2 linked regions of the Daphnia pulex genome follow. The protein of the gene in region 1 purifies or fractionates together with the protein of each later gene. This does not show direct contact. Links are inferred from orthologs where the notes say so. Each region holds a gene or a part of one and is shown on either strand. Other genes may lie near its edges. The genes, in order: cell cycle checkpoint control protein RAD9A-like and replication factor C subunit 5-like.

Region 1 (4,256 bases):
ATTGAAGCATCCAGCTTTCAAGTACCAGTCAACATTAGAAAAGAAAAAACTGTTTATCAAAGGTACGTATTTGCGATCTTTAGGTACGAGCTTAATTTGTTTTTATCCCAAATCTATTTGATGTTATAACAGGCTTAGCTTTCACTACTACTAAAGAAGACTTGGAAGCTCTGTTTAAAAAATTTGGAATTCTGAAGGACGTTCGATTAGTAACGTTACGGAACGGTAGCGTTTAATAATCTAAATTAAATTTATTTTTTCTTTACTAACTTCTATTTAATTAAATATAAAGGAAAGCCCAAAGGTCTGGCTTACGTTGAATTCGAAGATGAAGTTTCAGCGACGATGGCTATGAACCAGACAGACGGAACTACATTCCAGGACAAAGTTTTGACGGTTGCGTTAAGCAATCCACCTCCACGTCGCGAAGACAGAAACCTGGACAAGGATGAACTATCTTTGGGTGGCGGAACACGGGTAAGGAGAACGCAAGTGTCGTTTGTTCCAAACGCCGTCCTTCGCCAGACATCTCAGTCTTCCACCATGCCGCCACCCGTCAGTGTTCCCGCCAGTGCTTCGAAGAGCAATGCCGATTTCCGGTCCATGCTTCTAAAGAAATAATTTGAAAATGACATTGAAATGGCACGAATAAATAAAAAATGGACTGATCAACATTTAATGGCACTTTAACTTTTGTGATCATTATATAGGATACAGTGATGTACCGTTACAAAATTCTGACACAAAACAATACTGAGTTAACTCGGCGAAAGAAAAATGTACAAAATCGTTGGATGAGGGGAAAGCCGGGAAAGGGTTATTTCGTCTCTTGCTATTCATCTTCCTCTGAATCCGGAGCAAAGACTTCAGTTGGTCGCTCTCTGTATTCTTGTGTTAACTTGAGACAATTCTGAAATATGTAGCGAGCCCGAGCTCTCTTATTAGGAGGTGGTTGAATTTCGGGTTCCAAATCTACTTCCATATCAGGAAACGGATGGGGCTCGATAAGAGATAGACTGTTAAGACGTGGGGTATGATCCTCGTTAACAGGCGTTTGTCGTATCAAAGGTGTGTGTAAACGAGTGTGTGTCGTGCTTGCACGAGAACCGTTCCTAGAATCGACCAAATTGGCACGCGAAATGGTCCTGGAATCTAGAAAATTCACGAGGAGAGCAATGTATGTCAAGATCCTGACTTCCCTTTCAAGCCTGTTTTGTTACCTGTTTTATTCCTCAGGGTAGGGACAGGAGACGGATGGTTGGAGGTATTGCCTTGTACTGACATTTCGTGTTTGGCAGTTCGCGAACTAATGGATGCCGTAGTGTCCAGAGCAGGCGTTAGAGTTGCAAGGAGAAAATCTGCTGAATACAAGTCATCCTTTTGTAGACTGAACAAAACAGGCCTGGTAGAAGGAATTCCGTAAATAATCGATGCAACTTTTGAATCACAAGTAAAATGAAATATTGCTTACTGTCCGGCGCCTTCCATTCGACAATCAAGATCGAGTTTCAGGGCTTCTGCGAAGGCCAAAATAGCTCGTAATTCCTTCAAGCAAAATGTAACTTGAGTACACAGAGCGACGTTAAATTCAATGAATTCATCCTTGACCAACGTGACTTCCGTACGAACACATTTGGATGGGTCTATTTCATCATCAATATGGTTACTCAAATGTACTTGATCCATTGCAAGGGACCTTGAAAGAATAAACGAAATTTGAGGTTATTTAAACATGACAATTATGTTGTTGGATTACCAAGTAACTTCTTGAGTGCTTGAATGAAAACTTTGAAGAGTTTCATTGTAAAAACGTGAAGAGCAGGAAAATTTACTGGGGTAACCCTCCTTAGAGAATTCTGCCTATGAATTTTTAGGTTATTTTCATTAAAAGTCTGGCGAGACCAAATCAAAGGACTTACTTCAACACTTTCACATTCAAAGTATCTTAAGTTGAAGTACTTAACAATTCCATGTTTGCACCTGAACTCAATGATTAACAGAGCCTCAAGAAGTGGTAGCATTATCTTACATGTTTCAACTGATTTTTCCAAGCTTCCGATCGACCTAAATACAGACAAGATGGACTGGAAACAAAACATCATTGTAAACACACAATACTTCACATTAAAGTTATTTGTCAGACCTTCATGGGAAGTTTACATTTAATCACAGTATCTTCTTCTGGATCAGCGTGAACAGTATTTTCACTTATGTGCGTGTAGTCAAGAAAAAAAGGTAGGTGAAAATTGAAAGCTGAATAGGCAGATTTGGAAGCATTGACGGTCTTCAGAGTTAATCCATTTTCCATTGGTGAAATGTGCAATTCATCACCTATCTTAGCCAATGAGTGTATGGCTCGCGCCAAAACTAAAGAATAAAAGAAAGTGTTTTAGCTTTCAACTGCTTTAGTACAATCAAATGAAACATCATGTCGTACCCTTAACACTGGTTGCATCCAAAAGACATTTCATTTTTCTTTACTTCAATGTAAATTTAGTTGTTTGCACTAAAAAAAAATTCGAAATGCCGCCAGAAATTATATCGGTAACCCCATGTCCCGGATAACACGTTTAGAATGTTTAGCACGCAGACGACACGGAAATGAATTTTTTCAAGTATGCCCCGATTGGCTGTTGAGATTTTATCTTCACTGAAGATGTAAACAAATGAAACAAGTGACGAGCGTGACTCGTATTATTTCGGCCACATCTGCAAGTCACTGAAACTTGATTGTACTTTTAACCATAGATAAAGAAGACGGTCTTATCTGCTGAGGTACTTCAAGGAAATTTTTTTTCCCCTTGATTTATCAATGGTTTTCAATTATAACATTCTGAAACATTGGAAGACTTTCAATTACATCAGCTTTTCCGCTGTCCAATTCCTGCTGATTACATTCTGAAAAGTCATGGGGCGGAGCTTAAGAACAGCTGTGTAGTGTTAACTAGAGCACAGAGTGTAAACGTTTGTGAATAACTTACTTGTACTGCATGACTTTCTAAGGTAATAACAAATAAAATTTAAACTCTTTCATGATTCAGAATACAAAACATTGAAGTTAATGTTGGTCTGATATTCTGATTACCAATTTACCAATAATTCATTGGATTCTCCATAAACTATTTCACAGATGAGTAAACAAGGTCCTCCTCCAGCTGCCCCTCCTTCTTACATGGAAGCAGTGGGTGGTGTTAATCCATCAAGCCCCTTTACTCCTCATCAAAGTAAAGCATTTTTTTAGTATTTTAACTTTTAATGGGAAATGTGCCTCACATTCAAAATCACAATGTTTATCTCTTTTAATAGATGTAACCAACCAGCAGCCTATTATTGTGACAACCGTGATACCTGTTGGACCCGGAACAACACACACTGTTAGTTTTTCCCTCCACAGTTAATTATATATTTTATTTTCTCTATCTTCTTTCTTTACAGGTCTGTCCACATTGCCATGCTGAAATTGACACTTCTGTGCGTACTGAACCTGGTCTGATTGCCTGGCTTTCTGGAGGTCTTTTAGTTCTATTTGGGTATTACACAGTCAGCAATTTCTTAAGAGTTACACATTGATATAACACATATATTTTTATTACCAGATGTTGGTTGGGCTGTTGCCTTATCCCCTGCTGTATTCCTGAGTGCATGAATGTTCATCATGCTTGTCCAAATTGCAAAGCATACTTGGGGAGATACAGCCACTTTTAAGCTAATGTTCTTACTATGAAGAGGCAATTGGTTCTTTCTGTGTGTTAAATTTCATATTCATTTTTGGCAAATTTGGTTGTTGCATCTTGTATGCCAAAATTTACCTTTTTCCTAATTACACGAAGCTTTTCAATTTCAAAATTTCAAACAATAGAAATGCTGAACGTTGTATTATTCGTACCTTGCTTCAATATCTACTCCGCTTACTTATTAAAATCAAAGATACGCCGTGTTAATTTTATCACCAAAATTTATCAATGAATAAACTTCGAATATATTAAAATTGTCGTTTGTAATTTAAATTTTAAATTCATTGAAAAACGTTTTGTTCGACTGGGACAAAAAACCTATATTCCTTTTCTTAACTGAATTTTTTTAAATTAATTTGAATCTTGCAGTGCCGTAGTTTATTAATTATTTTTATGCTGCTCGTTAAATATATAGAAAATGTTATTCCTATGGAAAAAAGTTAAAAAAGAACCAAAACGATGCTTATTAAATGTTTCCCGCTATTTCATAGATACAAACAACATGGTTTTGGGGATTAACCT
Region 2 (4,557 bases), on another chromosome or scaffold:
CCAGCATGTGAAAGACGTTGACGTCACGTCAGATACATCAATTTTAGTAATAACCATAAATGTAAAATTAAATTTGAATTTTGAAAATAGGTGGGAGAGCACATGTCGGGAAGAGTCGCGCTGGGTCCTCTCACTCTTCCACCGGGTGATGTTACCTTGGAAGAAATCAACAACATGCTGCAGCAGCGAAGAGAAGGATTATCGAAGAGACCATTGGACACCAATGCAGCAACACATTTGATTCGGCATGCTTTAGCTTCGACAGAAACAGGATTGGATCCTGATCGTCTCTCAGAGCTCCTTTCGTTGCCAGATGACGTTGTTAGGCTTTTCAGAGATGATATCACCATCATTGTAGCTTACTTCGACACTGACTACCTATTGAAATCTCTTCCCCAAACAAATCAGGAATAGGATTTTGCTTGTGACACAACGTATTGCGTGAGTACTCGTTCTTTATCTCTTATTCATTCATTGTATCGAGACTGTCATATTTTAATCATACCCTAGTCAGCGAGCCCTTACTCCACCTCGGCATCTGATCTGAGGTTGTTTTTGTTTAGAATGTAAATACAACTGATGGAAACACATACTATATGAATAGTTGATGTAATTCAGGAAGTACAACTCCTTACACCAGAAGAATTAGATTAGGATAATTTTAATTTACTGACACTTCTTTAGCAATTAAATATTTAATTGAATCAAAGGCAGCAAGCAAGGATCCGAGTTGTAATTTTTCAGAGCACCCCGCAGACAAACGATATTCAACATCAGCCATCTTCTCCAGTAAAAAGACTCGGACGTTCGGCGGAAATTCGACTAGACCACAAAAACAACCAAAATTAATTTAACAGTTGTAGAGCTTATTGGGGGAAAAAAAAACTTACTTTTGTGAACGTATAAGTGCGTTTCAGTTAAGATATCTTGCAAAGCGAGGCCTTTGAAAGTTTGAAGATCGCGTATTTCTATGATGAAAATAAAAACGAACAGAAACTTTATTTCTAATGACTAGGCGATAAATAACGTCTTGATAAATTTCCAGAACATGATTCTGATTAATATATACAGTCATGCCAGCCTTAGAAGGCAAATTCGTCTACGTAATTTTTTCTTGACGGAAAGGATAGTAGAATGGATACCCCGACCTCTTTCGCCAACTCATTCTTTCCTTAATATTCTTGAATTTTCCTACATTAATATTCAGCCATTTATAGGAACGATGAGAATTCTACTATCCCTGCCGCCAAAAAAACCCTCAATTATGCTGATTGCCAACTAAAAATAAGTTAGTCATGCAACCCCAGATTTAAAAAAAGCTTATAGCAATTCTAGAGCAGAAATCTTACTGCTATAAGCTGAAGTTAAATCTTCGTTTAACATCCACGAAACAACATTTGCAATATCCGATTTAAGAGGATGACCTGGCAGGATTTAATAAGAATTAAAAATGTGTTTCCATGAATCATTAGCATACATCATTTTTTTCATACCGACGCAAGTGTAAACATGATCTTCATTCACTTCATCAAAAGCCATTGAGGTGCTTTGAAGAATATTTATGACACGACGCATGTCGCCATGAGCTAAGCTCAACAAAGCTTGACGCCCATCTTCCGTGACCTTAATTCTAATTTGGAGAAAAGATTTTACAAAGTTTAATAAATGTTTGATTAGAATAGTTTAATTTTCTCCTCTTACTTTTCTTCTTCAATTACGTAATTCATCCGAGGTAAAATTTGATCTGATTTTAATGGGCCGAATCGGAAACGAGTGCAGCGTGACTGGATAGCTGGTATGATCTTACTCATGTAATTACAGATGAGACAAAACCGAACATTTTCAGTAAACTTTTCAATTACTAGAAAAAATGTATCATGAAATGGTAATGATTTATTTAATAACTAGTTGGATCTCTTTAAAATATCACCTCTTCTAAGTGCATTTTGAGCATCATTAGTCATAGCATCAGCTTCATCCAAGATAATAAGTTTGAAGCCTGATTTGAATATTGATCTTGTGCTAGCAAAACTCATGATCTGATTTCTTACAACATTGATGCCTCGGTCATCAGAAGCATTTAGTTCAAGAACCTTCACATAAAATAAAAAGTTTTAGATTGTAGGATGTCTTTGAACTAAGAAAGAATGTAATATAACATGGATATTTTAATTGTGTAACATTATTCACCATGGAATTGAATTGCTGGGGTGTATACAGTTCTTTCGCGCATGCTAATTTTGAATGAATTGATTAGTCAAATCATGAAATAAAATCTAATGTAATATTTATTGAATATTAATACCAAGAATGGTGCTTGTTTTTCCAGTTCCAGGAGGTCCATAAAAAAGTAAATGAGGTAATCGATTTTCATTTATGAACTTGCGAACTGCAAATTTTTATTAGAGAAAATGCAATGCAATGAAACATTTTTGAAAATTAATAGAATTATATAGAGAGTTACTTGTTGAAATGATATCTTGGTGAGAAATCAAGTCATCCAACTGTTTTGGTCGATATTTTTCCACCCACGGCAGATTTCCCGAGGAAGTCATTTCCGAAGAAACTCTAGATACCAGAGGCCTCTTATTATGATTATTTAGGTACTTCCTACAGATATGTTCTATAACTTGTTAGTTTTTAAATTGATTAAACTTATTAAATTAAAAACAAACCGAAATTGTATGGAACTAAATGCACGTCGTCTTCTTAGACAAGTAAAGCGCGCCTAAAGTAACTTGACTTGACACCAATGCCAATTTAATCGATTTACAAAACTAATTCCATTTAAAATAAAATAATAAATCCATACAAATAAAATTATTCACCGTATTTTACAAGACCAAATGAATTGAACAATATTTTATAACTGATAACATTAAATCACACTAAATCTCGATTCAACACCAGTTTAATTTTTCGGACCATAGATGGCTACTACACAATGCAGAAGTACGCGGACTGTAGTGGAAAAAATGGAATAATCAGTGATTCTATTGATACTGACTGACTGTAATGTATTGCAATACATTCGCTTATGATGGCATTAGTTATTGTTGTTATGGCGTCTGCGAAATTGGAACTCTGTGCATTTTCGTTCGTTTAAACCGCTTATACACCGCGATGGATTTCTAAAACATTGGATAGTCATATAACAAAGAAGTACGGTGGGTGAGGAAGCCTTTGGAAACATGATTAGTCGGGAGTCCGAAGAGCTTTGAGTGTTGACGGTTTGCGTCTGAATAATATGCAATTTCGTACGTAAAGTTCTGCAATAACAACCAAAGTACTAGATATAGATACCCTTAAGAATGGATACTGGAATCACAAAGAAAGCTGTTGTTGTGGTCAACAGCTGTAACACCATTCAAACGCTCTTAGATATCAATGCAATGATAGACATTCATGCTAAACATCTAGAAGGGTTGAGAACCCAGTGCTCTACCAGTGCTGAGTTGATTCAACAAGAAATCAGAACCATAGAGGTAAGATGTTTACTATTTAAAAGAATTTTCTGAATTAAATCATTTCAATATTTTAACAGGGTAAACTAGTCAAATTATTCAGCAAACAGCTAGTTGCAAAAGCCAAAATTCCCATAGAGGGATTACCATATGAAGTCAAAAACATTCCGTCAATCAAGCAATGGCTTCAAGTTGTTGGAATATCTCAGCCATCTGTTGAAACCTTGTGTGCCAAATTTCAATCTCTTGAATCTTTGCAAGAACTCAGTGATCATGAAATTAAAAGGATCTTCAATGAGTGTTCTGCAAAAGAAGATGAATACAGGCGCTTGATAAGAGCACTTCAGAGTGTTAAGAGATATACTGGTAAGATATTCATTTATAAAAATGTTTAACTGATCCAACTCTAAGAGCTTTGACATTGCAGAAGTTCTGGTACATAATGAAAAGGAAGGTAATAGTGGCCGAACAACACCTGACTTAGCGCTTTACTGGGATTCCTGGGATAATGCTACAAAAATGTCAATGCCAATGTCCTCTAACATACAGCACAATGACAGTGTTATACAAAATTCATCCCCCATTCAAAGTATAATAACTGCCCATGAAACCATTCCGCAAATGACTTCGGAAAACCGCAGCCCTCCCTCTACTCCATCTTTATTAAAAGGAAGAGGTAAAATACATGGAGTCGGCTATTAACTAGCGTGGTTGAAACTAATGAAATTCCAATTTAGGAGATCGTATGAAATTCCCTGCAACTCCACCACCTCGCAAGAAAAACCAGGTTATTGGTGGTACTGCGCCACTATTGACGGATTTCCCTCTTACGAAATCTACCTCCCACGAATCCCAGCTAGCCAATAGAATCGACGGAAATGATATTATCAGGTAAAAAAAAACTATTCCTTTTATTATTCGAAAATCTGAGCGCATCAACAGTTCTAGCGAAATGTTAGAATTAATGTATATTTTAAGAAATGTCTTGGAATTGTTAAGCGAATGCACATCATCACGAAGGCTGGCGATGACAATTCTCGACCAGAAGAACTGCATCAGAAACATTTAACTGACGTTCATATATTACCTAGCA

What was found.
Region 2: the proteins of cell cycle checkpoint control protein RAD9A-like (region 1) and replication factor C subunit 5-like purify together in Homo sapiens (affinity purification with mass spectrometry; 3 studies listed by BioGRID and IntAct, with this or other methods). This does not show direct contact. The link is inferred for Daphnia pulex from reciprocal best matches to the Homo sapiens genes RAD9A and RFC5.

The regions. Positions count from the first base shown.
Region 1 is NC_060026.1:14,698,966-14,703,221, reverse strand, and holds cell cycle checkpoint control protein RAD9A-like, read right to left. Parts: upstream 2,680-4,256; 5' UTR 2,472-2,679; coding exon 2,438-2,471; intron 2,368-2,437; coding exon 2,144-2,367; intron 2,085-2,143; coding exon 1,920-2,084; intron 1,861-1,919; coding exon 1,757-1,860; intron 1,697-1,756; coding exon 1,472-1,696; intron 1,403-1,471; coding exon 1,209-1,402; intron 1,153-1,208; coding exon 833-1,152; 3' UTR 661-832; downstream 1-660. Other genes in the region: squamous cell carcinoma antigen recognized by T-cells 3-like, read left to right, coding at 1-62, 133-225, 293-621; lipopolysaccharide-induced tumor necrosis factor-alpha factor homolog, read left to right, coding at 3,131-3,224, 3,307-3,374, 3,436-3,530, 3,597-3,705. UniProt on the Homo sapiens protein: Component of the 9-1-1 cell-cycle checkpoint response complex that plays a major role in DNA repair. The 9-1-1 complex is recruited to DNA lesion upon damage by the RAD17-replication factor C (RFC) clamp loader complex.
Region 2 is NC_060019.1:3,436,234-3,440,790, reverse strand, and holds replication factor C subunit 5-like, read right to left. Parts: upstream 2,901-4,557; 5' UTR 2,676-2,900; intron 2,611-2,675; 5' UTR 2,556-2,610; coding exon 2,465-2,555; intron 2,390-2,464; coding exon 2,306-2,389; intron 2,235-2,305; coding exon 2,191-2,234; intron 2,094-2,190; coding exon 1,931-2,093; intron 1,862-1,930; coding exon 1,702-1,861; intron 1,631-1,701; coding exon 1,494-1,630; intron 1,425-1,493; coding exon 1,350-1,424; intron 969-1,349; coding exon 891-968; intron 823-890; coding exon 662-822; 3' UTR 594-661; downstream 1-593. Other genes in the region: pyruvate dehydrogenase [acetyl-transferring]-phosphatase 1, mitochondrial-like, read left to right, coding at 91-414; kinase suppressor of Ras 2-like, read left to right, coding at 3,312-3,485, 3,545-3,830, 3,892-4,140, 4,202-4,355. UniProt on the Homo sapiens protein: Subunit of the replication factor C (RFC) complex which acts during elongation of primed DNA templates by DNA polymerases delta and epsilon, and is necessary for ATP-dependent loading of proliferating cell nuclear antigen (PCNA) onto primed DNA.